2 linked regions of the Bombyx mori genome follow. The protein of the gene in region 1 interacts with the protein of each later gene in a biochemical or structural test. Links are inferred from orthologs where the notes say so. Each region holds a gene or a part of one and is shown in the gene's direction. Other genes may lie near its edges. The genes, in order: bromodomain adjacent to zinc finger domain protein 1A and chromatin-remodeling complex ATPase chain Iswi.

Region 1 (16,466 bases):
GACATAAATGATGAAACAAGGACACTTGAAGCTGCATTGTTGAGCTCGTGTGACGTTGTGTCAGGCTGCACCTGCTGTCGTCGGGCGCGGCGGGCACGGCGCGGGGCGCGGCGTGGCGCGCGTCGCAGCGCGGCGGCTACTCCTCGCTCGACGACCCCGGCCTGCGACTGCGCCGGCGCGCGCCACAGCTGCTCGTGCGGCTCGCCAAGTACCACGTGGCTGAGCTCGGACTAGGTAACTAACTACATGTAGCTTTCACTGCACCGATTTTGTGCGTGGCAGTTGTGAAACCAGTATACTGGTGTTTTTTTTTTCTACCTAGTTGAGAGCCTTGAGATGCTATTTCAGCGTAACCTTAATTAGTTGGTGAGCTCACGGGGCTCAAACCTGACGACGTCGCTAACTCGAACCTTAGCACGAGCCGTGCTTCGCAGAATCTACCACCGGATCGAAAACGCGACCCACTGAGAAGATCCGGCGAGAAACTCAGTGGGCTGTGTCTGAGGGTTAATTTACTCGTCGAACCCTTCGTCGCAGGCGACGGGTTCGACGAGAACGATGACCGGGGTGATGTAGTGGTGGAAGAGCGTATTGTAAGCCCGCCCTGAAAGCTACTATCACCCTCCCTATTACAGCCGCAAAGTAATAATGCGTTCCGATTTGAATGGTACTACGGTGTACTGATGACTACATGGCTATAGTAGAACTAGGTGGGGGCGGTATTCACATTGCGATGTCTAGAGGCTCTGATTGACTAGAAAAGCGTCCCTCTCGGTCATTAAACTAGGTAATAAAAAAAACATGTATTGATCTTGTTTTCAGATGACAAATTCGAAATACTCCAGTGCTTGATGAACCAGATACTGACTTACGCGACCGTCCGTGATGTCATTGAGGAAAAACTCGAGGAACACAAGAATTCTAAGCAAGCTTTGAGACTTTTACAGGTATAATGAAACATTATTTGTTTTCTATTAATCCAAATCTCAATAAAACCATGCTCGTACTAGTACTAAATTCGAAATTTTCAGTTTATCTTTTCCACTGCCATTTCTATTTTCCAAACCGGTATAAGTCTAACGATAACAAATGTTGGTTATAATTGTTCATAAGTTGTTATCGAGATGGGCTGCTCAATGCATTATTGTTGTGTAGCGCGTATGGGGACAAGTGATACTCGAGACGGCCAGTGACACACTAACATTTATTTCAAACATAACAATTATCCTTCTTCCTCAGATAAACGAAAGGAAACGCGAAGCGCAACTGCTCGCGTCGAAACAAGATCTTAAGAAAGAAGCTGCAGCTAAAAAAGAGGAGAACAAGCTCTCTGGTGAAAAAGCTCGAGCTATAGACGAACAGCTTAAAGTCGACACAGAGAAGCTGAACAAAGAAAACGACGAGAAAAAGAAAGAGTACGAAAAGAAATTAAAAGAACTGCAAATCGGATTGTTCGACTATTCTTCTTATCTTGGTTAGTTGAGTCAATTACAGAACTTATATATCGAGGATCAATATCGGATATTGAATCTATATATTTTCTGAATCTATATATTGATGGATGCTAGTAGATTTTCTCGATTCATGATATTTGAGATTTGAAACGATACGCTGATATAATATCGTAGTAGATATAGATTTAAGTCAACGTTATACGGTTGTTTTTCTGATATCAATTTATAATATGATCTTAAAGTAATAAAAAGAACATGAAAATAAAAATATCAAAAAAACTTTCCTTCATGCTTTTACCAGGCTTAGGACTGGCTACATTATTTTCAGTTTTTAGTATTTTATGTCTTAATTTAAAATTACAAAATATACCAAAAGAGTGTAGATTTCAAAAGTTTAATACAAACACAAGAAATAAACTCAATTATTTGGATTCAACTAAAAATAGAAAAATATGTACTTTAAAAATCTGACACAAAAAACTTTTAAGTATTTATAAACACTTGTCCAAAAATTGTAGTTCAAGGTCAAAGCGCGTGAAATTAAATTCAACGATGCAAATAGGCTATACTGCATTCAAGTTAGGGTCGAAAGTTGAAACTTCTTTCCTTAATTGTATCCTGCTGATACGCTAAGAATAATCTACAGACATATGGACTTAAATATAAGGTTTACAATTGTATGGATAATGCCTGTTTCTGTTTCATTCATCACATGATATCCCTATCGTGCGCTCACTCACTCTGGCCGATTCGATACGAACCAAACGAATATTGCTGATATTCACGAATCGGTACGATATGCCGATGCGCATCACGTCGAGCAATATCGTATATCGGCTGATATCGAAATATAGATTTCGATTCACGAATCGGTCCGATATGGCGATGCGCATCACATCGAGCAATATCGTGTATCGGCTGATATCGAAATATAGATTTCGATTCACGAATCGGTACGATATGCCGATGCGCATCACATCGAGCAATATCGTGTATCGGCTGATATCGAAATATAGATTTCGATTCACGAATCGGTACGATATGCCGATGCGCATCACATCGAGCAATATCGTGTATCGGCTGATATCGATATATAGATTTCGTGCGGGGCGATATCGGATTCAACGATATTGCTGCGATATATAGATATTGAATCTATATACGATTTATATCACCCACTCCTACTATCTCATTCTCTCGCTGGCTGAATCCTATACATGTCTCTATGGACATATTTTTTCGTTTCATCGAGTTTGAAATCACAACGATTCTAAAGAAGTTTTACTTCAAAAACTCCACTTGGACGTGCTGAAAAGAAAATTGATTTGAGAACATAACTATTTTCCGCAGGCATGGATCGCGCTTACCGTCGCTACTGGCTCAACCAGGCCGTGGCCGGGCTGTTCGTGGAGGCGGGCACGGAGCCGCGCGGGCCGTGCCGCGACAAGCCGCTGCCTTCCGCTCCTGAGCACGGAGAGGACACCCTCACCTATGTCACTAGATTGTTTGAAACCGAAAAGGAAAGAGGTATGAAATCCACGCAGTGAGTGTCATTACTGTTTCATAGAAAGCTATGTATCATACACAGCCACGGGAATTCCTAGTCATAAGTAAGGAATAAAACTTTTAATATTTATTATGTTGGGCATATACATAAATGAGTCGTCTATTATCAAAGCCGGCAATCTGACTTTTGAACAATATTGGTAAATCAGAAAAACTAATTATTGACTTTGTATTCCATTGGCTGTCACAAAACTCTTCGGAACGACATCTTAGATAAATAACAGGTTAACTATTAACCTTTATTTAATGCAGGTTTTGAACCGTATTCTTTGAAGGAGACGATTATATTCAAATCAATCTGTATTGACATATCAATAACATTTTTTTGTCCAAATGCACAGATTGCCACCTTTGATAATAGACGACTCAAATGTCTAAAAATAATGATGTAGACACTTTTACATAACTAAAATTAAAATACTACAACCGTGACTAATAATTGGAAATTTAATATCAGAGACCTCAACTTAAGCTTAGCTTAATTTGTATCGATATTTTTTTTAATGCATTTAATATTAAACTAAATTCGTTGCAACCTGTTTGCATTATGAATAACGTTATTTAAACAATTAAATGTTTTCTATTTCTGACATGAGTTTAAGTGATTGTTGATGTCTCTTACACTCGTAAAAATATTCTTTTCAGCGAGTAGTGATAAAGAAAATGATTCGGCAGCAAATTCACGGGGGAATTCCCCAAAGAAACCGCTCACGAACATCAATGGCTTAACACACAGGAACGGGTTCGATGATATCACACAACAGCTATTGATCTGCAGCGGAGATCTTTCTACGTGCAAAGTGCATGGAAAGGTGAGTCTTACAACACTTACACTAGAAACGATAACACAAATTTCGCAGAAGTTATTTGTAAATTCAGTTTTACAAATTTATAATATAGTCTACATAATAGTTAATATGAGTCGACTATTATCAAAGCCGGCAATCTGACTTTTGGACAATGATTGGTAAATCAGAAAAACGAATTATTGACTTTGTATTCCATTGGCAGTCACAAAACTCTTCGGAACGACATCTTAGATAAATAACAGGTTAACTATTAACCTTTATTTAATGCAGGTTTTGAACCGTATTCTTTGAAGGAGACGATTATATTCAAATCAATCTGTATTGACATATCAATAATTTTTTTTTGTCCAAATTCACAGATTGCCAACTTTGATAATAGACGACTCATATACCGTTTTACATAAAGGGGAACATATGGAAAATCATAAAAAGTATTAGAAATGGCTACAAAAACTAGATTCCTATGTGATCTGAAAAAGGAATAGGGTTCTATAATAGACATTTGTTTCAGTAGACTTAAATTTAAAATTACAATCCATTACTTAATAAACAAGATTTGAACTTATCATTACAAGTAACCGATATGAACAAATCTCTAAATAGTATATATAACACAATTAATTATCAGGTCGACCGGCCCCAATGGTGGGTCTACCACACAGAGGAACAGATAGAAGCATTGATCCAGTCTCTAAACAAGCGCGGTATTAGGGAAAGTGAACTCCGACAGAGCCTGGAGCTGGACAAGGACAACATCATTCAGTACCTGAGGAAATGTCCTGTCAAGTACCTCAATGGATCTGCTGCTAGTGTGAGTTGTTATACTTACTATCGATATATGAACGAGCCAGGTGTAACTCAACTAAAGAACACTACAGGGCTTTATATGCTATGGGAACCTTTGAATCAATTTTTACCGTTGGTAGGACCTCTTGGGAGTCCGCTCGGGTAGGTACCACCGCCCCGCCTATTTCTGCCGTCAAGCAGTAATGCGTTTCGGTTTGAAGGGTGGGGCAGCCGTTGTAACTATACTGAGACCTTAGAATTTATATCTCAAGGTGGGTGGCGCATTTACGTTGTAGATGTCTATGGGCTCCAGTAACCACTTAACACCAGGTGGGCTGTGAGCTCGTCCACTCATCTAAGCAATAAAAAAAAAGATGATGACTAGTTACACGATAAAGATAGTAGATCCTGTGAATTCTTATCAACACTAAGATTTACTGAATGAAAAGAAAAAAGAACAAAGACAAGAGCAGAAGGACTGGTAGGTACTATGGAATTACATTTAGAATATAACAATGTGCGTTCCCGCAGTCTCCCCCTCCCCCCGCGCCGCACTACACGCGCCGCCGCCCCCCGCCCCCCTCGCTCACCGTGCCGCGCGACTCCTCGCTGGCCGAGGCCGTGGAGCTGGTACTGCGCGACTATATCCTCGATCTGGAGGAGAAGATTCACTACGGATGCCTTGGAGCCCTTAAAGTTAAGGTGGGTGTTGTCTTTAATATTTACCTGGCCAGTCCTGATTACGGTTCCCAATTCCAAGGAATTAGGAAGGGAAACTAATGTGAAGAAAGGTATTTCATATTGTTGACTCTTACTGCATATTAAATGAACTTGAATATGGTCGAATTTTGACCACTTCTCCTCTTTGCTTATTAGTGTTTTTTTTTATTGCTTAGATAGGTGGACGAGCTCACAGCCCACCTGGTGTTAAGCGGTTACTGGAGCCCATAGACATCTACAATGTAAATGCACCACCCACCCTGAGATACAAGTTCTAAGGTCTTAAGCATAGTCACAACGGCTGCCCCACCCTTCAAACCGAAACGCATTACTGCTTCACGACAGAAATAGGCAGGGTGGTGGTACCTACCCGCACGGACTCACAAGATGTCCTACCATCAGTAATAAATAAGATTATTTTATGATCCTTGAACCCTAATTGTATTAATCGGTGTTAACTAATCACTTGCTAATACAAACAGGACCGCGAGGCGTGGCGCGGGACGATAATGCTGCGCGGGTACGACAAACAAGCCGACTACCTGACCTGGGGCCCCAACCAAATGTACAGAGATGACTATCACCAGCCCAACGGCGTTCTGAATATTCCTCAAGGTATTTACTTGTATAATATTTGGGTCATTAAGGTAAAAAAATTAATCCCACACAAGGTTGCATTGCTAAATACATTCGATATTAAGCCAATATTTTAAAAAGAAAATCATTTACGTGATATCACTTCACTGCCAGCAAGTCTGGTCAGTCAAAGAATGTCCGTCATTCTGGAATAGTCTTATTATATTCTTAACTAGCGACCCGCCCTCGCTGCGCTTCGGAAACATTAAATTTTATTATTGAATAGTTGAGTCCCGCGATGTTACCCGCGGTTATTGTCGTATCGTGAGTGACGCCGCGGGGCGAAGCTAGTCTAAAAAAGTAGCGTTACTCCTTATATCATCAGCTACCTGTCAGTAAAAGTCCCGTCAAAATCGGTCCAGCTGTTCCAGAGATTAGCCGGAACAAACAGACAGACAGACAAAAATTGTAAAAAATGTTATTTTGGTTTATGTACGGTGGTATATATATTCATATGCATGTTGTAAAAAGCGGTTATTTCAATATTACAAACAGACACTCCAATTTTATTTATAATAGATAATAAACATTTTAATTTCGTATTTCAATAGATCTTGACGAAACAGAGCTAGAGTCGATACCGGTGAACAAATACCGCGACCCCGGCTACTACCTGGAGGCCGCCAGGGTGAACGGAGTCAAGGTAGAGGGCGACGAGCTGAAGGCGAGGCGTGACGTCATCCGAGGGCTCGCCTGCGCCCTGCTGCAGGTCTCCCAGGCCATACACGCCAAATACTTGAAACGGCCTCTGGGTTAGTGCGGGCTATCATTATGTGTTGTGGACTGATGAAAACAGTTGGAACAATTCTAATAGATAAGATCAACACCGATTTGCACTATTACTGATTTTTTACTGGTGGTAGGACCTCTTCAAAGTCCGCACGGTTAGATACCACCATTCAGCCTATTTCTGCCGTGAAGCAGTAATGCGTTTGGGTTTGAAGGGTGGGGCAGCCATTGTAACTATATTTGAGACCTTAGCTTAACTTAACTTATATCTCAAGGTGGGTGGCGCATTTCAGTTATATATGTTTATGGGCTCTAGTAACCACTTCACACCAGGTGGGCTGTGAGCTCGTCCACCCATCTAAGTAATAAAATATATAGATATATACTCATTTGATATATACATTGCCTTCGTTTTCGATTGGGAAGTGATCTTAGAAGTAATTAAGGTGATTCCTTCGTCTCGTGTCTGCGCCGCGTCTGTATCGTTCCGGTTGGTTGTGCAGGGTGGGACGAGAAGGGGCGGGCGCGCAGCACGGAGGGTGGCGCGCTGGCCCGCTGGCAGGTGTCGCTGCTGGAGTGCGGCAGCGCGGCGGGCGCGCGGCTGCACGCGGCGGCGCTGCACGCGTCCGTGTGCTGGCGCGCGTCCGTGCTGCGCGCCGCCTGCCGCCTGTGCCGCCGCCGCGCCGACCCGCACGCCATGCTGCTGTGCGACGCCTGCAACGCCGGCCACCACCTCTACTGCCTCACGCCGCCGCTGCAGGTACAAGCAGTTGAGAAGTGGCAAGGGACACCCGGATGGAACGAAACTCCTTTCGATTAATTAGTGAAGGAGTTGTAATAAAAAAATATATTTTTTTAGTTATAATAATGTTTTGTATGTACAAAAAACCTGTATACACTGAACAAAAATAATCGTCTCGACACCACACTGTTGGACCACACAATGTAAAAGACGAAGCGAAAAATAAAATAACTAGCTTGCTTTCTATGAGAGAGAGAGACAGACGGAGAAACATGCGCACGCCGCACAGCTTACAACTATAGCAAAAAGTGTCTTTACAACTTTTGGGCTTAATTTTTTTCCGTATAGCCCCCTTTCGCAACGCGCGATAAGGAACTTCGTTCCAATAAAAAAGAACATTTCGAAACAATTCGAAAATCCACATGTAACATTATGAAATAGTGATAATAATCTCATAGAGGCAATTTCCAAAGTGATTTATTAAATCAGCATATCCATTTCTTTCATGCAAACAAAAGCCTGGCGAACTTAAGGTAAAATCGCACGTCTGCACGAGCGGATACTAAATATCTAATAATTACACTATTCATTTATTAATGATGAGTTAACAATCTCGTATGTCCACAATTTTAAATACGTCTTCTGAATATTTTAACTTGTAACTTTGTCAACATTAAAATCCACCATTATATAAAAATAAGTACCATTTACATAATTTTCAACATGATTTAAAAATGCAGAAAGTACCGGAAGGCGATTGGTTCTGCGATCAGTGCAAGCCGAAAGAACATAAACGGTCACCCAGGAAGAAGAGGAAACTGTACTCCGAGGAAGATGTCGAAGAACCACCGAACAGGCAAGTCCTTTCATTGAATATTTTGAAATAGTTGGTTACTGCAACACATAGATCATAACATTACGGTCCCAGCTTCAAATCAGAATGCACCACTGCCGTGTAAGCTTGCAATACACCTTACCAACAGTAAAAGTCGGTTGATGATCGCAGTGCGTTTGTATAACGCGTCGCCGATTCTCTGGCTCTCTCCCTTTGAACTAAGGACTACCAGGACACGCAAAGCAAAACACGGGCATGCTATTCTAGGATGACACCACACCGCCAAAGTTCGTTTATGTCCATGTAAACGGTCACATCTTTTTATCTCTCTACTTTGTGTTTATCTTCTGCGCTCTCATAACACAGGTGAAAATTATTTAAAATGGAACAGTTTATTTTTGTTTTATTTTTTTATTGCTCAGATGTGTGGACGAGCTCACAGTCCACCTGGTTTTAAGTGGTTGCTGGAGCCCATAGACATCTACAAGGTAAATGCGCCACCCACCTTGAGATATAAGTTCTAAGGTCTCAAGTATAGTTATGACGGTTGCCCCGCCCTTCAAACCGAAACGCATTTCTAATGAAACTAGCACGTTGAGATTCAAATGAGAACTGGTTTTTATTCATTCAAAAAAATATACACAGATAAAACACACAAATACCAATATAGGTTAGTTTCACATTAGTGACAACAGATGTCAGTACTTAACAGTATTTAATGTTGATTATTTAGATATAAATTTCAACACTCCCACTATATCTAATAATCATAACCATAAGCATTTATAAAAAAATATTAGGTAACATTTTACACAATCACCAATCCTAACAACTCCATAAAGGCATAATGTTTCTTAGCACACAAACTTTTAGTAAACAAGTCAGCGGGCATGTCAGCAGTCGACAAATAGTATAATTTTATTATATTATTTGAAACACACTCTCTGGCAAAATGATATTTCACATCTATGTGCTTAGATTGTTTGTGAAATACTGGATTCATCGACAACTTCTGTGCACTCTGATTGTCATTAAACAAACTTAAAGTATACATTTTATTTGTGATTTCAAACTGCAAAGTTCTTAAATATATGGCTTCTTTACATGCTTCTGAAATACTCATGTATTCAGCTTCACAGCTTGAAAGAGCTACTGTTTTTTGTTTCTTACATTCCCAGGATATTACTCCATTGGATAACAAAAAACAATAACCAGTATATGACCGTCTATCATATGTATTGTTTGCCCAATCAGCATCAGCAAAACCTTTAATTTCTTTATTTCCATTCTTACAATATTTAATACCAAATGATTTAGTCCTTTTTAAATATTTTAAAATCCTCTTAGCATAATGCCAATGCTCATCAGTATGATTAATATTAAACTGGCTTAAATAGCTTACAGAGTAAGTTATATCTGGTCTGGTTAAGACCGACAGGTACATTAGGCTACCTATAAGCTGCTGATAGGGCACTTGTTTAGTTACATTTTGACCAGTGTTTACATTTAACTTAGTCTCCATTGGAGTTTCAACAGTCTTACAGTCTGCCATTTGAAATTTTTCTAATAAACTCTCAATATAACTTTCTTGATTTAAAGTAACAGACCCTTCCTTTTTATCAAATTTAACATTCATCCCAAGACACTGTTTTACTTGCCCTAAATCCTTAATTTTAAATTTATTTGACAATATTTCCTTCAGTCTATTAGTTTCCTTTTTATTATTGGAAAAAATAAAAAAATCATCGACATAAAGGGCCACTATAGTTACCATATTTTCAATTTTCTTTGTATACATACAATGTTCTAATTTAGATTTCTTATAACCATTTTCAATTAAACAACTATCTACCTTTTTGTTCCAGGCTCTGGACGCCTGTTTTAAGCCATAGATGGCTTTATTAAGTTTTAACACTTTCTTATAGTTATCTGGGGTATTAAAACATTCAGGTTTTTGCATGTATATAGTCTCCTCTAAGTTACCATTTAAAAAAGCAGTTTTTACGTCTAAATGTGTAACATCTAGATCTAATTGGACTGATAGTGAAAACAAAAGTCGTAATGTTGTATGTCTAACAACAGGCGAGAAGGTTTCCTTATAATCTACTCCTTGTTTCTGGGAAAAACCTTTAGCTACAAGTCTGGCACGGAACCTAACCTTACTTTCACTATCATATTTCTTACACAAAACCCATCTACATTTAACTATAGTACTGTCTTTAGGTGCATCAGTAAGTTCCCAAGCATCATTATCTTCAAAACACTGTAATTCGTCCCTTATTGCCTCTAACCACTGTTCCCTATCTGGTCCTTTTAGAGCCTCATCAAGTGAAAGTTCACAAACATTTTGAATAACACTATTTTCTAAACACATATTAGAATAACCATACCTGTCCGGCTTCTTTCTTTGCCTAGAGGAATAACTTCTTTTAAGACTCACAACACTTTCCACACTGTCATCAGAAGAATCATCTGGTACATAAGTCTCATCATTATCATCATGAAAAATTTCACTTCCTGATTCATACGATGTGTCTCCCACTGAATCCTCACTGGATTGTGATTGTTCAGTTTCCTCAATCTGGACTACACTTTCTGTTTGTTTGGCATTTTCTATAATGATCACATCACGGCTTGTTGTGATATCCTTAGTGCTTGGATTGTAGACTCTATAACCTTTTACATCCTCTGGGAAACCAACTAGAATCCCTTTTACAGCCTTTTTATTCCATTTGAGGCGCTTCTCTTTTGGAATGTGCATCATCACTATACTTCCAAATACCCTTAAGTGGCTAATATCTGGCTTTACTCCATTCCACATCTCAAAAGGTGTTTCATTCAAATTTTCCACCACTATCCTATTTTGTAAGTATACAGCAGTATTGGCTGCTTCAGCCCAAAAGCTTTCGTCCATTTTAGCATCAAAGAGCAGACACCTTGCCTTTTCCACCACAGTACGATTAAATCTCTCTGCCAAGCCGTTCTGTTCTGGTGTGTATGGATTGCTTTTCTTATGAACTATTCCTGCTTTACTTAAATAATTATCAAACTCTTTATTCACAAATTCTTTCCCATTGTCGCTTCTAAGAATCTTAATTTTTCTGTTTAATTTATTCTCCACCTCAGCTTTGTATCTTTGAAAACATTCAAAAGCTTCACTTTTGTTTTTCAAAAAATAAATATAGATGTAGCGACTATAGTCATCAATGAATAAAATAAAATATCTGGAACCACCAAGCGACACATTCTTGAATGGCCCACATACATCCGTATGTATTATCTGCAGGAGATCATCACTTCTATTTCCATTATGTGGAAAGGGTAAACGATTTTGTTTCCCTTCGCAACACACTATACATGATGACTTTGATATTTCTACCTTTCTATCAAGTGTAAGACCTTCCACAGCTTTCTGCATTTTACTTAAATAGTTACTGTTGACATGACCAAGCCGACGATGCCAAATTTCACTCGAGGTCACCATTGCAGCCAGCCTTTCAGGTATTCTCAACTTATAAACTCCATTTAATAAGCAAGCTGTAGCAACTAGCTCATTACACTTATTAAATATTTGACAGCCATCATCTTTAAACAGGACCTTGTTGCCTTTTGCAATCAATTGACTTACGGAGATGAGATTCGTGGTCAAACTAGGTACACATAATACTCCTTCAACAACCACATCATACTCACAGTTATCTGTCAATGTTGTTAATCTCACATCACCAGAGCACTTGACAGACACTTTTTCTTTATTCGCAACAACAATTTCTTGGACTGTATGATTGTTCGACACATTTGTAATCCAATGTTCATTCGCTGTCAAATGGCCACTAGCACCTGAATCAATGTACCAATCATTCTTCGAAAAACAACCATTTAGGAACACGGCACTGAACGCATTTGTTTGTTTACGTTCACTGAATTTGTTATTTGATGAATCTTTTACATCATTAGGACATTGATTACGATAGTGTCCCGTTTGTTTACATTTGTAACATTTGATTACTTTTTGTTTTGACATTGATGTTGACGTCCGAGTTCTTCCGGTATTGGCGCCATACTTTTTTCGATAACTCGCAAATGCTCCGCTAACGTCGCCACTGTCTTCCTCCAAGTCCATCAATTTTGTTTTAATGGCGTCGGCCGTTATATTAATGCCCGAATGTTCAATCGCCATTATCATTGGCGAATATTTTTCAGATAATCCAGCTAAAAGCAATGATCCTACCCACTCATCATTAAAATGAAAGCCCGATCCACTCAATTTTTGGCTCGTTTCTATGATTTGAGTAACATAAGACGTCATAGATGTACAATTTTCAAGACGAATTGATATCAAAGTTCTCAACAAGCTGATCCTTCTAGTAAATCCTGAATCATCGAATAAATGCTTTAATTTTTCCCATAGTTTCTTCGTATTTTCGACATCCTTGATATGTACATATAGCGACGAGTCAATCGTTAGAATCAATTTTGCCTTGGTTTTCGCATCGGCTGCGGCTTCATCTGGATTCGTGACTTTAATACAGTCCGAAGTACCTTCCAGTATCAGAAAATTCTCCGCGGCGAAAGCCCACTCCTGGTAGTTCTCGCGACCTTTTAATTTTGGCACGCTTACAACGTAATTCGAACTCATTTTCACCGGCACAGTGTATTCTCAGTCCACACAAACTTATACAGCATTAACTTGCAAGTTCTTGACGGAAAAAACACGTAATTCTGGGTCCATAACCTCTAATGAAACTAGCACGTTGAGATTCAAATGAGAACTGGTTTTTATTCATTCAAAAAAATATACACAGATAAAACACACAAATACCAATATAGGTTAGTTTCACATTAGTGACAACAGATGTCAGTACTTAACAGTATTTAATGTTGATTATTTAGATATAAATTTCAACAGCATTATTGCTTCACGGCAGAAATAGGCAGGGCGGTGGTACCTACCCGTGCGGACTCACAAGAGGTCCTACCACCAGAATTTTAAAATAGTGTAAAGTTGCAAGTGATTGATTGGCAATGTTATGACAGCGAAGCGGAAGCGGAGGAGTGCGAGGATGAAGAGGGCGGCATCGACGCGGGCGTGTGCGCGGCGTGCGGCAGCGGCGGGCGCCTGCGGGCCACGTGCCGCGCCTGCGCCGCCGCCTTCCACGCAGAGTGCGCCGAGCCGCGCCCCCCGCCCGGCGCCGCGCGCTGGCTCTGCGCCGCCTGCCTCGCGCCCACCAGAGGTCTCTGTCCTAACCTTTATGTGTACATACAGGAATTCGAGGGTAGCTATGTGTCGACAACTAAACTCTCTTTTTTTAGTTCAATTCTTAAAAGAATCTTCATATACATGTAGTTGAATAGATAGAACCAAACGAAATCTGAAATAGGCACTATGAAATATTAAAAATATATATTCTTTTGTCAAGAAATGTTTTCACTATAATTTCCAGACGCCCCAGACTAGACAATACGTAGGTCTTGAGGTACCAACTATTAGGGTTACCAACGTCTATATAAAAAAAATTGACAACACAGATGCATACACATATATACTAAATAACAAAAAATATAGATCTAGGGGCTGTAAAACAGTAGAATTTGGTATCGACGTATGATTATTATGAAAAAAATCTTTTGACAACCCAAATAAAGATTACAATAACGTTTTAACCCTTGTATTCTATAATTTACATTCGAATTCGCTGTAAAAAATGGTTGTTAAAATTATGGTTAGGATAATTGATATTTAAGCCACAGTTAGCGACATGTAGAGTCAGCGAAACAAAAACATAATTGTAAAATGATAATTTCGATGTTGAAGCGATGTCGAGCGTCCGGCGCTGTGCTGCCACCGCGTTGTCCAACATCCACCAGTACACGAGGGCGCTGCACGCGAGCCCCTCCTCCGGTGCGTTACTGTCCCCCCTCCCACCACTCCCCGGCACACTGTCCCCCTCCCAACGCCCCCCGGCACACTCTGTCCCCCCTCCCAACGCCCCCCGGCATACATCATTTTAGTCATTATGGGAGTGCTCTGTGTACTGCGCACTAGTAAACGTGCTTCTAGGATAGAATGGCTAGTGATATGGGACCATTTAATTACTAAGCAATGGCGGGAGGACCACAATTTTCGTTTCGTTTCTGTCCGTGATCTGATAATGATAATACAATGTGATTGTACGGGAATCATTGCGATTCCTTCATCGTCTTTAAGTGTAAACACAATTATCAATATTTACACTTGAATTCAAACGCCGCAGGCCTTCTATCTGTCTGCTACCGTATGACGTCACAATAATCAAACTGATAGTTTTCTGTCATACAGCCAAGCGGTTAATTAATTTTATGAAAAATGCACGTTCCGTTGAAGCTATATAGCTAGTACGCAGATTTGTACATGGATGCACCCGGAATGTTGACGCTCTATCCTGATGCACTAAGATGATGTAGCACGGGATCACGCGAGGTCCCCCCCCCCGTGGCATGTCTCCCGTTCACCGTCATTGGTGCATTGTTCTTTCATTCATAAATCCTGTTCTTATTCTATTGCTTTTCTTTGGTTTACAACGTTCTTCGCAAAATGTTTACTTTATGCTTGGCAACCCTGTCGCGTAGGCCTTCATTGCGACATGTATCTTTACAATAAATCTCCCGTTGAACTATAGGAACTGTATGCTCGTCGCTGATAGTAGTGGCAATGCAAGAAGCCGACTGCCATCTTGAAATACACAGTAAAAGATCCTTATTCGCGCTTCCTTCGGTAGCGTTTTCACTATGCGCGGATTAAAAAAATGCGACCAAATTCCTATATTCGCGACTAAAGATTTCCTTATTCGCGGATCTAATTGATACATAGGTACGTATGCGTTGATAGACATGATTCCAATATAATAATATACTGACTACTTATCTTTTGAAAAAGCGTCGTCAAATGGATTAATAAAAAAGTAAAATGGACCTTATTACAACTTTGCCTAAAGTATATTTTTAAATGCGGACACGTGAGACGGAACGTTATGGATAAGAGCCGCTTTGCGTGTTTTATTGTTTGATATTTCCATTCGTTACAAAAATTGTGATAGACCATTCCGTATTCACGGTTTCTGTATTAGCGGTATATTTACGGAACATATAGCCCGCGAGTAAAGAGCTTTTACTGTAAAGAAAAGTCACATATCTTCGACATGACCCATATGTTCTTTCGTAAGCTCGCCTTGTGCATTCCCTGTTTTGTGACTTGAATGTTACTTTGATTCATGGCGAACAACCGTTAATCAGATTGCTTTTAATTTTAAACTAAACTATTGACATTTTCATTAGTACCCAATGACAACTCATATTTTACTGTTTATGTTTCTATAAAACACATAAAACTTCTTGTTTTAAGGGTGGGCTGTCCCATCTGTCCACATCGTTCATTGAGACCACTATTGAGATATTGACCTCATGTCTCAAAGTCGCATTGTTGTTGCGACTTCTATGCGCTTCTGTGAGCACTGACTACTTCGTAATTACCCATGTAGGTAATAGAAAATCTTCATTTCCGTCCCAAATAAAAATGCTTTATAGTAATAACAATGTCAGTAGCATGACTGCATGTGATAACGATAGATGTAGAAATCAAACTTCGTACACGCAAATGGATTATTAATTCATTTCCTTAATCACGATTTCCGAACTGATTCTTCTGTTTGTAACCATCAAACCATTGCTCATCTAAATAATTAGATTGCTTGTTAGAAATAGGACTTACCTTTCCTCTTTGTCAATTTGTAGAAATTAAGTTTGCTTTTTCCTAATATTGTTCCGTGATCTCATATTATTTACCTGCGCCGCCTAGTGAGTAGATATCTGACGTACAAACTAATATTTGAGAACAATAAATAGAAAGTTTATAAGGAAGATACAATTCTATAAAAAGCAATCAAGACTAGAAAGCTATTTAATTTGTGTTCTGCTTTATAGTGATTACTACTCACATGTAACAAATTACATTATTTTACTACAAAATTGGGACAAAAAAATGTGGAAGAGTAATTTTAAATGTTTTTCAATTTTTGTTTAACAAAGATTGTAGGCAATATCCATAGACTAAATATTGCTTCAAAAACATTATGCTGTGTGCCATCTATGAATTTGTTATATGATAAAAAAGTAAAAAAGATTATCAACAAGCAAGGTTAAAAAATTTAGTA
Region 2 (16,968 bases), on another chromosome or scaffold:
TATCCCTTAGGCTAGTTGTCCGTCGCTTGCGACAAAGGGCTCGTCGAGTAAATTAATCCTCAGACACAGCCCATTGAGTTTCTCGCTAGATCTTCTCAGTAGGTCGCGTTTCCGATCCGGTGGTAGATTCTGCGAAGCACAGCTCTTGCTAGGGTTCGTGTTTCAACGTCATCAGGTTTGAGCCCCGTGAGCTCACCTATTAATTAAGGCGACGCTGATATAACTTCTCAAGGGTATCAGCTTAGGTAGGGAAAAAAAAGCTAGTTGTTCTCTGAAAACACAAACTCTAAAATTATTTTATTAGAATTTGTTTACTGAAAAGATGCGTGATAATGTTAAGAAGCTCACATGGCAGTTTGAAACGCTTGTTTTTAATAAAATAATCGCAACGTTAGTTCATCTCAGTTTATATTAATTTCTGGAAATTAATCAAAGAATTTACTTTACATGTTCTTAATATTATGGTTTACAATTGTTTTCAGATGCCAATAACAAACGGTCTACAAAACGGAAACCATTTGGCGAAAGCTGATAACATATTAAAGACAGTTTTAGACCTTAAAACTTCAAATTGTAGAAAAAACGGTACTCTAACTCGAACTCCGACACCAGACTACGTCGACAAGGCACACGTACAACTAAAAACGGTCAAAGACGAAAAAGCTGAACTAGAATCACTCGAATCTTATAAACTTAAGAATCCCGTTAATGTCGCACCAAAGCCGCCATCAAATTATTTCGTAAAAGCACCAAATGGAACTACGACCATGAAGAAAAATGCAAGACCCGTGTCAGTAACTATATGTGAATATTCAAACAACGGCAACAGTAGACGTGAACCAACGAAGTTAGACTTTTTAGGTACTGATATGCCAGATGGAATTTTAAGCGATGGGAATGATATACCTATCACGAACAGACTGCAATCAGAACTAGCTTTAACTTTGTCTAGATCTAATTTACGTAAGAAAACTGAAGCTTTGGTAAGTAAATTGGACGAATTATTTTAAGCATTTCGCGGATATCAACTTTTTTTTTATTGCTTAGCTGGGTGGCCGAGCTCACAGCCCACCTGGTGTTAAGTGGTTACTGGAGCCCATAGACATCTACAACGTAAATGCGCCACCCACCTTGAGATATAAGTTCTAAGATCTCAGTATAGTTACACAACATTCTATAATACATCAAAAACACTTTTATTTACGGGTTCTTGCCTCGATTTGGCACAGCCCCGATATATCGGGAACTCATTAAAACGAAAATAGCCCGTAAGAAAGTGATTGTTTTTGAATTAGTTTTAACTTTTGTCAAGGCTCCGTGAATCCAACGATAAGCTTCAAGCAGTAAAATTAAAATTAAATAAATTTTTTTCAGGTCAAGTCCATAAATGGAAATATTAATTTGAATTTTGATGATACCGGTAGTGACAGTACATCTATAGACAAAAATTTTCATGCCAGATATGGCAACAATCTCTTACCCCTACCGCCTTCGATATCTATACCTAAAGTAACAAGCAAAATTGAGAATTGACCTAAAACTGATGTAATACCTACCTACATTAAAAATAAAAACTACAAAACATACCACCTCAACAAAACCAAAGTATCTATACAAACATTTTGTTAGTCTATTTAAAAATCACAGTTTCCAGATCGCACCAAAAAGTACCTACAAAACAATTGTGCTTTAACTAATTATTTAAGGTGCTGGTTTAAATATGATTAGGTTGATTAACTTCCACGCATCCGATTTATGTTTGAGTTAAGCACTGTAACTAAAGCAATTATATTTTTTGATAGTCAAATAGTTGTTTGATTTTAATTTTGTCTCATTTTTCAGAACGACGCGAGTCGGTAGACTTAGAAAATTGGGAAAAAATGGAAAAATACAGAAAAGGAGCTATTCGCGATTCTAAAGGAGTTTTCAAAAATTTTATAAACCAAAGTTAGATAATTGTATAATTTATGGAAAGTAAAAAAATAACATAGTCAAACTGTCTTAAATTATTCTTAGGTTGAAATAATTTTTTTAATATAATTTTGTGATCGTGTTCATGAGTAATTTTATCTGCGTAAAATAAATTGTCTAATAATTATTGATACATAACTAGTGTATACTTATTCCATAATATTTTTGTTATTTTTAATAGACCTACATATCTAATACATTTGTTTCATCGAAACCTAAGTCAATAAAATAAAGCATATAAATCAACTTGAAGGGTGATTTTTTTATTTATTAGTTTAGTAAATTAGCTATCAAAGATTAGCTTCGCTTTGATTATATTATACACTAAAATATTTAGCGAGCGACAGTCCTCATCAATTTTATAATATTACCTATAAAATCATCCTGGTCTAAAACCTTACAAACGAATACGTCGAGCTGTTAATTAATAATAAAAATCTTAATTATAAAAAAAAAATACTAAGGCAAACAATATTAATTTCTAATTTTTTATCCTACATAATGCTTGAAGCGAGTGTAACGTTTGTTTGTCGCCAGTTCAAAAATGCGGGTTTCATTGAAAAATCCAAATTGAAAATGTATTGTAAGATGAACTGTTTTTATATCTTTGAGGTATTGATACCATTCTGCCATTCATTTGCACTTGTACTCTTGTCTAACTTAGTGTACGCAGACGTCCATTGACAGACATAGACCTTGGATTTGTGCGACTTTTACCAGGTCCACTCTAAAACTTTTTGGCTCCCACGACAATCAGTTCGTCGAACAATGTGCTCTGCATATAACCAATTTAACCTCGCAATCCTTCGGGCCATGTCGGTTATTTTGGTTTTTTTTTTAAATCTCCTCATTCCTCATTGGATCTGTCTGAAGTCTTAAGGTATTGCGTACAAAATTGCATGTGTTATTTAATACAAATGGTAACTGGTTAGGGTTCGCTTGTGGGATCTTGTAGTTTTTATTTATTTTTATTGCTTAGGTGGTTGGACGAGCTTACGGCCAACCCGATCTGAAGTTACCGGAGCCCATAGACATCTACAACATAAATGCCGCTACCTACTTTGAGATATGAGCTCTAAGGTCTCGTTCTGTACAACGGCTGCCCCCTCCTTCAAGCTGAAACGCATTACTGCTTCACGGCAGAAATGGACAGGGTGGTGGCGGTGCCTACCCGTGCGGACTCTTAAGACGTTCTACCAACAGTAATTACGTAAATTATAATTTTGATAAAGTAAGTAAACTAGGTACTCAGTTTCCTCTTCTATAGTCTTTGCTTTCTCGCGGGCAACTTGAACCTTATTGTTCAGTTGTTTCATAAATTAGAGTTATATCTTTAGGCGTCGTTACAGACGTTAGACTTTATAGATATTAGTTTCATTTATGTAGTAGGTATACAAAATTTTGATGCAAAAATAAGACAATAGATAAAAGGTATTTTTAATTTATTTCGTTAACACTTCATATGGGTGGCAGAGATTTCCTGCCGATGGTGTATTAGTTTGAATCTAAGTTTTCAATTTCGCTAAATTGTAAACAAATTATGTGCAAAATTTTTAAATAATTTTATTAGTTACTTTGTCCTCTAACTATTCGTTGGCCTAGAGGCTATTCCAACTACGCGCTGCTCAAACTGAGACAATTACTAACACTGGCCCTAGTAAGAGGAGTGCTTCGCTGAATCTACTACCGAATCGGAATCGCGACCCACTGAGAAGAATCGACGAGAAACTCAGTGGGTTGTGTCTCTAGGTATATCTAGGTATATCTTCGTCATAATCGACGAGTTCGACGAGGGGCAGTGACCAGTGCTTGGAGACCCTAAAAGCACTGAGTGCCTATCCGAGAGATCCGACAAGGACATGTTTCGTACTCGGATATCTAATTAGCGGTGGACACGATAGCGGTTATCGTGTTACGCCGTTTTTTCAAATTAGTTAATTACTATTAACGTCCGCGGTTCCATACGAGTTCCATGTTTTTTGCGTTTATTTATTACATACAATATTTGGCGAATAAAAATAACTCATTCTTCTGTACCTACGAATGAGTCGATAGAAACGGTGGAACCGTATTAACCTGGACAAAAGAGACAAGTTTTTAAAACGAGTGTTTGTATTTCAGTTAACTCCAAATAATCACACAAGGTTTTGTTTTTTAGTTAAAGTATCCTTTATTTTGAATTTAACGAACATGTTTTAAATTTCATTTTTATTAATATTATTACAGCTTTGTACATAAGCTGTTTTAAACGGACGAACTCAGCCTTCTTCTTCTTCGTCGGTATCGCTCTTGACAGAGTGGTTGTGATCATCAGTTCATGTATTGGTAGCAAACTTCACAACACGCCGCCAGTCTGCTCTGATAGTCTCCCTCCTCGTGCATTCAGTGATGATGACCCATTTACTGCCTCTTTATATAGACTCGTTGGTACGGAATTCAGTCCACTGGAAACTCACCAAGCTACCTCAATATCAAGAAATTCTGCCATGAAAAATATTTTCAGTTCATTCATATTTTTCTTTTGAGACCTAAAGAGAACTAAACTTATAAATCTGGCACTTTCTAAGAATTATGACTATGAAGACTATTAAATACAGTATCAGTACAACTATGATTTTTCCTTGATCTGTTTTCGATTAAGCTACAAAGATAACTTTCTTTCTCTTCAAAATTATCTAGTTGTGAATATGTTTTCCATGGCACCTGAAACATGTATAGGGTTTAGTTAGACCTGCTTTAATTATCTTGAAAATAATTACTGTCAAAAAATCTAGTAAAGATTTATGATTATTATGATGCTAATTCAATAAATCTAAATACTATTTAATACCGATAATGCATGCTGTAAATTCGACTGAGTACCACAGTCATCCCTATTTCTGCCGCTAAGCATTCATCCACAGCATAATGGAAAAAGTCATATGTTGCGGTATACGGTTATGGGAATATATTGCAGAAGGCATATGACCTTCCGGCTTACACAGATGTTGGCTGAATACAACTATATCGGTCGGTACATCGTCGGTCGCAATACCGAAAAGAAGCCGACGACGGAGTGCCACCATTTTGGCTGCAACAAGGACACGGTGGATATGTGATGGCATACGCTCGCAGTTTGCGGTGTCTCAGAATGGCATCATCGTGTCGTGCTCCTATCATATTTCTAATATGGTACAATAAAATTATTTTTAAAAAGTTTACCAATATTGGAGTGTAGCCTAAAGCTGCAAGTTCTCGAATTTTTGTCTGAAACTGTCCTGTAGGTACATTACAGTTCTGAATTAGAGAATTTTTTCCACCTATTATAAGTACAATCCAATCATTGTCATCAGGAGGCTTCCGAATATACCCAAATGTATCATTTTTAAATGCTTCTTTGACTGGCATAGGCTTTCCATTGTGATCATTGCAAATGATTATATCTATAAATAAACATTGTGAACATTATTATACCATAATAGTCACATTTGACCATTGACAATAAATTCAAATTCAAATTTACTTTTTAATTTATTACCATTTCTGTTTGCATTGATGTGAAAATCACTTTAATATACATTAGGCTAAAAAAAAGCTACTCTAGCTAGTGTGATTTTAATTTATTTTAATTAAATTTCGTATTAAATAACTTAGCACTAGATAAGTCTGTTTATACCTATCTAACCTGATTGGCAAAAGTTCAGTCAAACATTGGTCTATACAACTGTTTTTTTTTATGCCTTTAAAGGTGGCACCAGAGGACAGTACACTTGAGGTTGAGCAATTCACCTAAATCCTTATTGAAGATCACCACAAATAGTGAAACATGAGATCTTTGTATAACAGATGTTTTGCACTTCTCATCTGCTTGAGGTTACTTTGTGTGAAAAGTGTGCTGGATAGTGGTGGGGACCCATTGCTTTATTTTATTACACAGTGCAATTGTTTTATTGTGGAAGCTGCGCAATAACAATCATTGGTCAAGTAAAAGAATTTAGTAAAATATATGATGTACTTGAAAACATCCCAAAATATATATTTTTTTCAATCATTACAATCATAAGATTGATGTGGTGGGGGTTTAGTCACAAATTTAAGTTTCGCAAGCTTATTCCTGTCAGTACAAAGGAATTAATCAAGAATGATTTTAGATATGTAAACCAGATGCATATTTCATACAACTGACCTCCTCTTTGATGGTGGGTTAAAATATGTTCAGCTATGACATAATTTTGGCCGCCTCGACAATCTCCCAAAACTTTCATAATATCTAGCATCATTTTTTCACTAATATTGTACTGTTTTTTGTAATTTTCAGATGGTACATAATCTGTATATTTTTTTGACAGGAGGAGCACAGCTTTTTCACTAAGCCGATTCATTGCAGACTCCCTGCAAAATATCTCTGCACTGTTATGTAGGCTTAATAATTCTTTACCATAACTAAACATGTGTTTGCCATATGTATTTTCTAAAAACTCTGGGCTTAAAGCTTTACTTATTAAATCTACAGGATATATCCCTACCAATCCAAAAAATGATATACAGCAACTGTATGACTTTCCATGTTGTGAAATCTCAGGAAATCTTTCAGGTTTTTTCAGTTCTTCAATTACTTTAGAAAAAAAATTATCTTTCGTAGCTGGTATTAAATTAAATGTGCCATATGTAAAAATTAATCTTTCAAGGTCTTTTAGTCTTGTTTCATGCATATGATCCATTATATAATGGGCTATTTTGGTAAGACAATCATTGTGTACTGTAAGTGATGATGTTCCAACTAGTGCTAAATGTACATTGCACATTACAGAAAGCCTTGTGACTTGATGTTGTAAAACATCTAGCAGTGAAAATATTTCATTATTTTTATTTTGCTTCACTGAATATCTAATGATTTTTAAAATAGCAGCTAGTGCAACTTCATGAACATGTTCAGAATCTTCAATAACTTTATTGATTATTTTTGAAGCAAGCTCCATACTTCTTATAGGACATTTACTCTTAAAAAAACCCATGCTCATTATGCCAATGTCTTCAACTGAAAAACATGCAAAGTTTTTAGAAAAATGAATTTCTAAATTATGCATGTCATGGGGTTGTTTACGTAGGACTCCCACAAAAAATAATGTTTGAACTAGTTGTCCTGGTGTTAGTTGATTTGCTTTAGTTGCTAATTTATTTATACTTTTCCAAGAAAAATCACTTACTCTTGTAACATTCAACATAAAAAACAATGATATAAAAGATAACATTTCATCGTGTGACCAATTTTTTAATCGTTTTAGGCATTCATCATCAAGTGCAGCCCATACCTCAATATAGTTTCTTGTTCTAATCGATGCTGTTTCTGGCCACATGTTTAAGGAATAAAAAAGAGTTTTTAATTGTGAGTCAGTAGCCATTTGTATGGTATCAGTTAGATTGTCTATGAAATTATCAAATATTTCACTTGATATGCATAAGCTATGTTGTGAACAATATTTTCCGAATATAGGGAATATTTCAAAAATTTCTTGGGTTGTTTTCTTAGTCCAATCTTCTTTATTTAATCGCTGAAACTCTTCTTGAGATATAGCTTCGCTAGAATGTTTTGTATAAATATTTATTGCATAACCTTTATTTTCTAACACACTGTATGCATATTCATTCTCTTTTTCCATATACATTTTAATGAATAGCCCAGTACTACTATGAATAGATCGCGTATAACCTGGTTTAAGCTTAAATTGTGAAACACACTGCAGTCGAAAAATTGATGTTATTAACAGTTTTCGCCCAATATTTATAAAAGTACTCATATTTAAATATTCTTTAATTCACAAAATCAAGTGAACCCTTTAATCTAGTATTTGTGCATGTTATCTCCCCATTATTATTTACTTCAGTGTTTTATTTTATTCCTACGTTAAAATCTGGTTTATTGGTTATGTCAAATGTTTTTTTTTTTTAAGAGATTTTATGACCTGGTAACTGAGACCTTTAAGTCATGTCTTATTTTACTTTATATTCTTAATTTTATGAAAAATGATAATATGGAGTGAAATGAAATGAAGATGATTAATTTGAAACATTAATCAACTGGCATGAAATTTAATGAAATGAGATGATATGGGATGAAATATAATCGCAGTAAAATGGTGGTCATTTACTGAGATTTTTTCAGTGGACTTTTTGGACGAACCCGAGAAGTTACGTCCAGCAGCTTTGTTTCATTTTCCCACATTTGTGCACTTTCACAGATATTAAACAGTTAATAAACCACCGTTATTACACATTTAAACCTGAAGAAACACTAAATAGACAAAATAAAACAAATCACACAACTTCACTCCTCGCGTTCCCGCCAAAAAGTCATGTCAAATGTCATATTCGCACTTCACAGTAGGTACCTACTTCACACACACTTCCATAGACCTATATACTTCAGTGCACACTTCACACTCACAGGCTCTCTCGTCTCACGCTTTTTTTTTCTGGCCTGTGGCCTAGCCTTCTACGAGGTCCCCGCGCCTAGGGGGCGCGTGGAACATCAGTGGCTGGTAAGCATCTGCGTCAGCCGAAAGGTGAGACGTCCGCGGTCGCGGCCCACACAGTCCGTGAGAACCGGGCGCACCGCTTCGACGATGCGGACGGTTCATCAAACGACGAGATTGTGCCTCCAGCATGGACCGCTGAGATTAGAGCCTCCGCGCTCGGATCACTCCTACACCAAGGCACCCTTCCCCCTTAGAGCGAAGACGTCTCACGCTTTGGTATTACCTTTTTTCTGCCTGTTCTAGTAACCTCGAGGGGTTATTCTAGATTCACTGAACTATTAAGTGAGCTCGCGGGGCTTAAACCTGAAGCTGTTGCTAACACGAACCGCTTGCCGAGCCTTTCGTCACAAGCGACCGATCGACGAGAACGATGACTGGTGCTTGGGGTACCTAAAAGTGCCGTTAGGGGATCGGGAGGATCTGAAATGACATATTTTGGGCGACGTTGACTGTTTACCATTTGGTCCGCAGGATCGGAAATGTAAAAAGCGGGAACGCGAGGTGTGAATTTATTTAGAATTTTAATTTACATACTTACATATTCTTTGGATTTAAGTGTGTATTAATTGTGGCTTATTAGCCATTTAACGTGTAAGTTCACAAACTTAAGACTGCATTTAACGTGTTTAGATTTTTTTGTTTGGTTTGTATTAAGCTATTGCATAGCTTTTATCGTGGACTTTGAGCGCGGCGACTGAATTAAGAAATTCCGTAAGGAAAATAAAATCTAACAACCCTCACTCAGTCTACGATGTAGCTCAAACATTCACACGTTGCGCTTGTGTAGTGTTTGTGAATAAACGCGCGGCGCGACGTCGCACTGCATGCGCATCATGAAAAGTCTGCCCATCTCTCTCTCGCGCGGTCTATGTAGCCCTTATATGAGTGTGAAGGGGACAGTTACCTAATGTTTTGCTTTTGTTAATGTTTATAAATATAGCGTGGTCTTATTTTATTATTGTTTTAATATTAAATTATTATTGTCTAATTATAATTGGATAAGTTGATAAAAAATGCTGTGCAAATAGCTTTATCGTGGCAGTCCCCGAGTGCTACACGTGTTTTTTTTTTGTCACATTTAAACAAAAAATATTTTCCCCTCATATTATTCGATTCCGTTGCATTTAATTACGTTCATAATCATCTTCCAATAACTCATCATCATCGCATTCCGGTCTATTTATACTTTTTGTCCATTAGAAAAAAGATTTGGCCTTTAGAACACATCAAGATTTGGCTTAAAAGACTAAAATTCAGGCTGTCAAACACTTTTAAAGGTGTCCTTTGCCTAAATAATTAGCTATAGTGTTTGTGACACTCTGTGATAATTTTTTGCTTTTGTCAGTTTGCGATTTTCGCGCCCGGTTGTAGTGTAATGTAATTACATTAATCTTCAATTGTGAACAATATTTAAACAATTCAGTCAATAGGTATACATTGTACTACAAAATGTAAGAATTTATTGAGTTCCAACAAGTTGAAAGTGTTCTTCTTTGGTTTTCATACATACTTTAATCTTCGAAGTATCTAGTTTGTAATGTTCGTATGTTTTCAGCCTTCATGCAGTCAATTTATAACTAAGTTGTTCAACCAGTGTACAATTGCTGGTTTCTGGTTTATTTGAATATATTTTCTAACTTCGCAATCTTGGTCATCTAGTTCAATATTGTTTTAACTGTAAATAAAAATGGCCCAGTCGGATGATGCCATGGACGTTGCCGATATTGGCGACAATTCCGTGAGTAGTTTAATTTTTTTATTAATAAACTAACTAACTGAATTTTACTTAAACTAAAACATTTAATGAATCCAGACTAATATTACCACACCCAATTTTATGAATTCAGAATGGCTCTTCAAGTGACACGACATCTTCAAGAGGGAAAGAAGGTGATTTCGAGAGTAAGATTGAAACTGATCGTTCCAAGAGATTCGATTTTCTACTAAAGCAAACGGAGATATTTTCTCATTTTATGACCAACACTCCAAAATCTGGTGGGAGTCCTCCAAAACCAAAGGCTGGCAGACCCAGAAAGATAAAAATAGATACTGAACCTGAAGGTCCTGGAGAGTGAGTATCAATATTACAAAGTATTACTTGTGACAAACTATAACATCTGTGTATCAATAATGTAAAATCTACTTGACAAATTATACAAGTATGGTGAAAAAATATAAATAGTATTATGTCCACTGAATGCTGTTGAAAGATAGATTAATAAGATTTCAAAACTTTTTTTTTCATGTGTCAGTCACAGACATAGAAAAACTGAGCAAGAAGAAGATGAAGAACTTCTGGCAGAAACAAATTCAAAACAAAAGACAATATTTAGATTTGAAGCATCTCCACATTACATAAAAAATGGAGAAATGCGGGATTATCAAGTTAGAGGGCTTAACTGGATGATATCATTGTATGAAAATGGTATTAATGGAATTTTGGCTGATGAAATGGGTCTAGGAAAAACTTTGCAAACAATTTCTCTACTTGGATATATGAAACATTTTAAGTAAGTTCAAAATTGTTACATATGAGTCGACTATTATCAAAGGCGGCAATCTGACTTTTGGACAATGATTGGTAAATCAGAAAAACGAATTATTGACTTTGTATTCCATTGGCAGTCACAAAACTCTTCGGAACGACATCTTAGATAAATAACAGGTTAACTATTAACCATTATTTAATGCAGGTTTTGAACCGTATTCTTTGAAGGAGACGATTATATTCAAATAAATCTGTATTGACATATCAATAAATTTTTTTTGTCCAAATGTACAGATTGCCGCCTTTGATAATAGACGACTCATATGTAATGTTCAGTGTGTTATAAAATATATGCAAACAGTTCAATATATTTATGGGATTTCCAATTTAAGTGCCTGTGTACCCAATACACAAAAAAATAAAAAGTTTGATAGCAATCAAGTGTAACAACTTTACTTCTGCTTTGTATTCAAACAGTACAATAGTAAGTTATGTTATCATTTATTGCCTAGGTTGTATTATGTAAGTTAAAGGTGTGATTATGGCTTTGTGATAGTAATAACTAGTCTTAGGACAGGTTAAGTAGTAAAAAAGTCTGGACGTGTTTTTTTTTAATTATTGAAATCCTAAACTTTTTTGTATAAAGTATCTGTACCAACAGTCTAGAGACTATCAAAATCACTTGGTAGGGTATGCTATGCAATGCAGACCATGATTAATGATGAGTCTTAGTGTCTGCCACAGTGAAGCTTTAGTTGCATGGGCAGTTCCATGACATGTATCTTGAGCCCATTGGAAGAACTGTTGCACCAGTTGGGATTACTGTTTTGCTGATTAATCAATTTTTTGTTTAGATAATTTTCTCATGAACTGAAAACATGTTAAGTGTCAAAGTATTTTTATTTTTTTATTTATTGCTTAGACGAGTGGACAAGCTCACAGCCCACCTGGTGTTAAGTGGTTACTGGAGGCCATAGACATCTACAACGTAAATGCGCCGCCCACCTTGAGATATAAGTTCTAAGGTCTCAGAGTAGTTACAACGGCTACCCTACCCTTCAAGCAGAAACGCATTACTGCTTCACGGCAAAAATATGCAGGGTGGTGGTACCTACCCATGCGGACTCACAAGAGGTCCTATCAGAAGAAAACAATATTAGTATCCCAATATTTTGGGATCCCCAGTGTACATCTACTCAGAATCATATGTATAAAGCTACCTATGATTCTGAGTAAGATTTTTAGTTGGGCACTAAAGCCATAAAAGATTGAAAGTAGATTTTTAAATTATAAATTTATTGTCAGTGTAAAGTATATGATTTTCACCAAGCTTTGAAGTGCCTGTGGCCAATAAGAAAATGTACCCAGTGTATTTGCAATGATCTGCATGGTGAAATTGTTAAAATACTGCAGGCAGTTATCAATGCTTCTTAAAGTAAATAAAGTAAAGTAAGTCCCTAACCCACATTCTGGAGTGGATTTCATGACAAAGGCAACACCATCATCATGTTCTAAAGGATAAGAGATATGTACAGCTTACTCATGTCAAGTAATGTCATCTTACCTGTACTGGCAGGTAAGATGACAATTTTTATTAGGAAATTTGGTTTTAACAGTGGGTGTGTTGTAACAGTGTTGTTTGTTTATACTTTAAATAAAGACACTGGAAAAGATATGTCGTGAATGTCTAAATAAGTATTAAAAAAAATTTCAGAAACGTTCCTGGTCCTCACATAGTAATTGTACCAAAATCCACTTTGACAAATTGGATGAACGAATTTAAAAAGTGGTGCCCTTCACTAAAAGCTGTGTGTCTTATTGGTGATCAAGAAACAAGGGTATGTATAATGTTCATTGCCATTTAATATTTATAGCAAAATTTTAATATATCATAATACAAGATATTAGTAGAATATTACCAAAGGCAAATAAAGTGATTAGAATAGCAAAATTTGACTAAGTACATAAATAGTCCTTTTGAAAAGTCTGTATATCATTAATATTCCACATTACACAGAAAGAAGAGAAACCGTTAACAGCCATTATAGAGCAATATAAAACCTTGTATAGAATTGAAAAAAAACATTGTACATTATTATTTTTAGACTTCATTTTTCTGATTATATTGTATTGCACTATTATATGTTTTTTTTGGTACTTGTTCTACAAAAAAAATATGTATGCTAAAAATATATATATATATATTATGCAAAAAACTTGTGTGCAAAGCTTAACCTAGACTAGTTTTCTTAAAACAAATATAAAATAGACATCACTTTAGACTAGATACAAATTAAAAGTATGGTAGGAAAATGGATTAATAAATAAATATGTTTCAGAATACATTTATCCGAGAAACCTTGATGCCTGGAAACTGGGATGTTTGCATTACATCATATGAAATGATTATAAGAGAGAAATCTGTCTTTAAAAAGTTTAACTGGCGTTATATGGTGATTGATGAGGCTCACCGTATCAAGAATGAAAAATCTAAATTATCGGAGCTGCTTAGGGAATTTAAGAGTATGAACAGGTTGCTGTTAACTGGTACTCCCTTGCAAAATAATCTCCATGAGTTGTGGGCACTATTGAATTTCCTTCTGCCTGATGTTTTTAATAGTTCTGATGTGAGTAATAATACAAGGAAATGCACAATGGAAAAAATGCAAAATTAATGAATACTATTTTAATTAAATATTATTTTCATTAACCTTTTTAACATTCAATGTTTTTTTTTCTGATATTCTAGGACTTTGACTCATGGTTTAATACAAATGCAGCCCTAGGTGATAACCAATTGGTTTCACGTTTACATGCTGTACTAAGACCATTTTTGCTTCGGAGACTCAAATCTGAGGTTGAGAAAAAATTAAAGCCTAAAAAGGAATTAAAAGTTTATGTGGGTTTGAGTAAAATGCAAAGAGAGTGGTATACTAAGGTTCTTATGAAGGATATTGATGTAGGTAAGTCAGAATATGTTCATTATGCCGAATAACAATGCCTTAAATGTTTCCCTAAACATAGGTAATATGTTTTCTAGAAATGGGTTTCACCTGTCAAACGGTTAAGAAGTCACAATAAAACAATAGGTAGTTAATATATCCATAGTCTTGAGGTAACTAGGAAAGCATCTGCTATATGCCTTTGCACTATATTGTCCAAGATATGAAATGAAAAGTTTATTACTTAAATTAGTCATATTTAACTTACTTTGGAAATTTACTATAATTTACTATAATCATAGATTAACTGAGAATAAAGTAAATATAACTAATTTTTTCTACAAGTGCTATCTTCTAAAGGAGCTTGGAAAGCATTACAGTGACTTTAACCTTACACAACTGGTCTGAGGTTCTTTTGTTCCATTGGTTTCTTTTCTCTTTACAGCTAATTAATAAATAATACGTATAAGAATAATAGATAACTCTCCAGCTTTAGATCTTTTGTTTCGACATGTCTTTGATATGAACTGTGACGTTTCATGGCTAAGATTTTGCATTCGGTGTCCGAGATACTTGGGTGATGTTGAGTAAGGGCAAGATACATCTACACCTGTTGTCTTAAGTTTATTTGCTTATTAATAAATTAATTACCAATTTGTAATAATTTTATTACCTATAGTAAATGGTGCTGGAAAGGTTGAAAAAATGCGACTCCAGAACATTCTTATGCAGCTACGCAAATGTTGTAACCATCCTTATTTATTTGATGGCGCTGAGCCGGGTCCACCGTACACAACTGATGAACATTTAGTATATAACTGTGGTAAACTTACTATACTGGATAAGCTTTTACCTAAGCTTCAGGAGCAAGAGTCGAGAGTACTTATTTTCTCACAAATGACTAGGATGCTGGACATCTTAGAAGATTATTGCCTTTGGAGGCAATATAAGGTAATATTAAGCATGATTTGAAAAATTTTTTTTGCTAGCTTTTAATCTTTATTTAGCTGCCTTTAAATGTAAATACTGCATCCACAGACAATGCTGTAAATTAACTCTTCATAAAAATAAATGCATAGCATATAACTTAAAGCTATGCAATATTGTAATTTTTTTTATAGTATTGCCGTCTAGATGGTCAAACACCACATGAAGATAGAAATCGACAAATAGAAGAGTATAATATGGAGGGGAGTGAGAAATTTGTTTTTATGTTATCTACACGAGCTGGTGGTCTTGGTATTAACTTAACATCAGCTGATGTTGTTATTATTTATGACTCTGATTGGAATCCTCAAATGGATCTGCAGGCCATGGATAGAGCTCACCGTATTGGTCAGAAAAAGCAGGTGGGTTTAACTTAAATATGTTTTGGCAGATATAATTTTACAACTTTTGCACACCGGTAAGATTAACTATTAGTGAAATTTGTAAAATAATTTATTAATCTAAATGTTTCATAGGTCAGAGTGTTCCGTTTGATAACAGACAACACGGTTGAAGAAAAGATTGTAGAACGTGCGGAAGTGAAATTGCGCCTGGACAAACTTGTAATTCAGTCCGGTAGACTGGTCGACACTAAGAACCAGCTGAACAAAGATGAGATGCTCAACATGATCAGACATGGTGCCAACCACGTCTTTGCGTCTAAGGATTCTGAGGTTACTGATGAGGACATCGATACGATTTTAGCTAAAGGAGAGAGCAAGGTATTGTAATATAATATAGTAGGAAAAAAAAGCTTTGTAATACAACCACTTGCTTGACAACATGTGTTAAACTAGTTTTTTTTTTAATATACTATTATAGACTGAGGAGTTGAAGCAGAAATTGGAGAGCCTGGGCGAGTCGTCCTTGCGAGCATTTTCAATGGACACTCCTGGCGCGACCACCGACTCAGTTTATCAATTTGAAGGTTGTCCTCAAAACTATTTGATAAAGTGAATTTCACTTCAGTTTTGAACTGATAATTTGGTAAAGTATTCAAAAATCTATTATTTTATACTCACAGTGTTAATAATATTATTATGCCCGTTTAGGCGAGGATTACAGAGAGAAGCAAAAAGTTATCCCAATGGGTAGTTGGATAGAGCCGCCTAAGCGCGAACGTAAAGCTAATTATGCCGTGGACGCCTACTTCAGAGAGGCTCTACGTGTATCTGAACCGAAGGCGCCAAAGGTACAGGTAAATAAGTGTAAAGAGCTAAATCGGATTCCTCAGGAGTCCTCCTATTGGCGATTGTTGGTATTGGTATTCATTTAATCATTTATGTAACAGTATTTTGATTAGCTCTTTATACTGGTATTTATGTATGCCTTATATAAATATTTAGCTTACATAGTAGATTATGAATATCTCGTCTGTTTTGTAAAAGACTCTTCTATTTTAATTTTGTGAATTGCATTGGACAAGAATCCGAAGAATAGGAATGTAGATAAACCAAAAACAAAGAATCAAAATATTCCTAATGGATAGACATTTAAGTAAAAGTCCATATAAAAAAAATTACTTTAAAAAAGTAGTTTTCATAAATAAATAAAAATTATTACATTATTATATTATTGATCTAAATTATAAGCAATAAGTTAAAGTTGCAAATTTGTCAACATTCATTCAGAGCGCGTATTATTTACTATGTATTTATTTATATCTATTCATACATATGCATAATAATATATCACGCAACTAATCAGAATAAATATATAATTAGCTTTATATGCACGCTAGTTACATAGTTATTTATTTTTTCATTTCATAATGAACATACGTTTTTAAACAGGCTCCGCGTCCTCCGAAGCAGCCCATCGTACAGGATTTCCAGTTTTTCCCACCACGACTTTTTGAGTTGCTTGATCAAGAAATATATCATTATCGCAAAACCTTAGGGTGAGATAATTTGTTTATGTTTTTTTTTTTAAATACATGTATAAAAGTATTCAAAACTTACAAATACATACTTGCAATTTGTTTATTATTTATTTCATAACCACAGATATAAAGTTCCACGTAATCCAGAATTGGGTCCAGATGCAGCGAAAATTCAGAGAGAGG

The links.
Region 2: the proteins of bromodomain adjacent to zinc finger domain protein 1A (region 1) and chromatin-remodeling complex ATPase chain Iswi form a complex in vitro, tested with the Drosophila melanogaster proteins (3 studies listed by BioGRID). The link is inferred for Bombyx mori from reciprocal best matches to the Drosophila melanogaster genes Acf and Iswi.

What each region holds. Positions count from the first base shown.
Region 1 is NC_085131.1:1,099,660-1,116,125, forward strand, and holds part of bromodomain adjacent to zinc finger domain protein 1A, read left to right. Parts: intron 1-64; coding exon 65-234; intron 235-822; coding exon 823-947; intron 948-1,239; coding exon 1,240-1,474; intron 1,475-2,804; coding exon 2,805-2,981; intron 2,982-3,665; coding exon 3,666-3,832; intron 3,833-4,457; coding exon 4,458-4,640; intron 4,641-5,146; coding exon 5,147-5,317; intron 5,318-5,817; coding exon 5,818-5,950; intron 5,951-6,522; coding exon 6,523-6,723; intron 6,724-7,203; coding exon 7,204-7,460; intron 7,461-8,182; coding exon 8,183-8,298; intron 8,299-13,314; coding exon 13,315-13,511; intron 13,512-14,092; coding exon 14,093-14,179; intron 14,180-16,466.
Region 2 is NC_085119.1:7,649,419-7,666,386, forward strand, and holds the start of chromatin-remodeling complex ATPase chain Iswi, read left to right. Parts: upstream 1-9,741; 5' UTR 9,742-9,937; intron 9,938-10,041; 5' UTR 10,042-10,173; coding exon 10,174-10,224; intron 10,225-10,333; coding exon 10,334-10,557; intron 10,558-10,738; coding exon 10,739-10,996; intron 10,997-12,688; coding exon 12,689-12,812; intron 12,813-13,313; coding exon 13,314-13,601; intron 13,602-13,723; coding exon 13,724-13,937; intron 13,938-14,595; coding exon 14,596-14,867; intron 14,868-15,037; coding exon 15,038-15,265; intron 15,266-15,379; coding exon 15,380-15,625; intron 15,626-15,725; coding exon 15,726-15,831; intron 15,832-15,955; coding exon 15,956-16,101; intron 16,102-16,696; coding exon 16,697-16,803; intron 16,804-16,909; coding exon 16,910-16,968. Other genes in the region: uncharacterized protein LOC101736534, read left to right, coding at 483-983, 1,375-1,533; FAST kinase domain-containing protein 5, mitochondrial, read right to left, coding at 4,948-5,393, 6,137-7,748.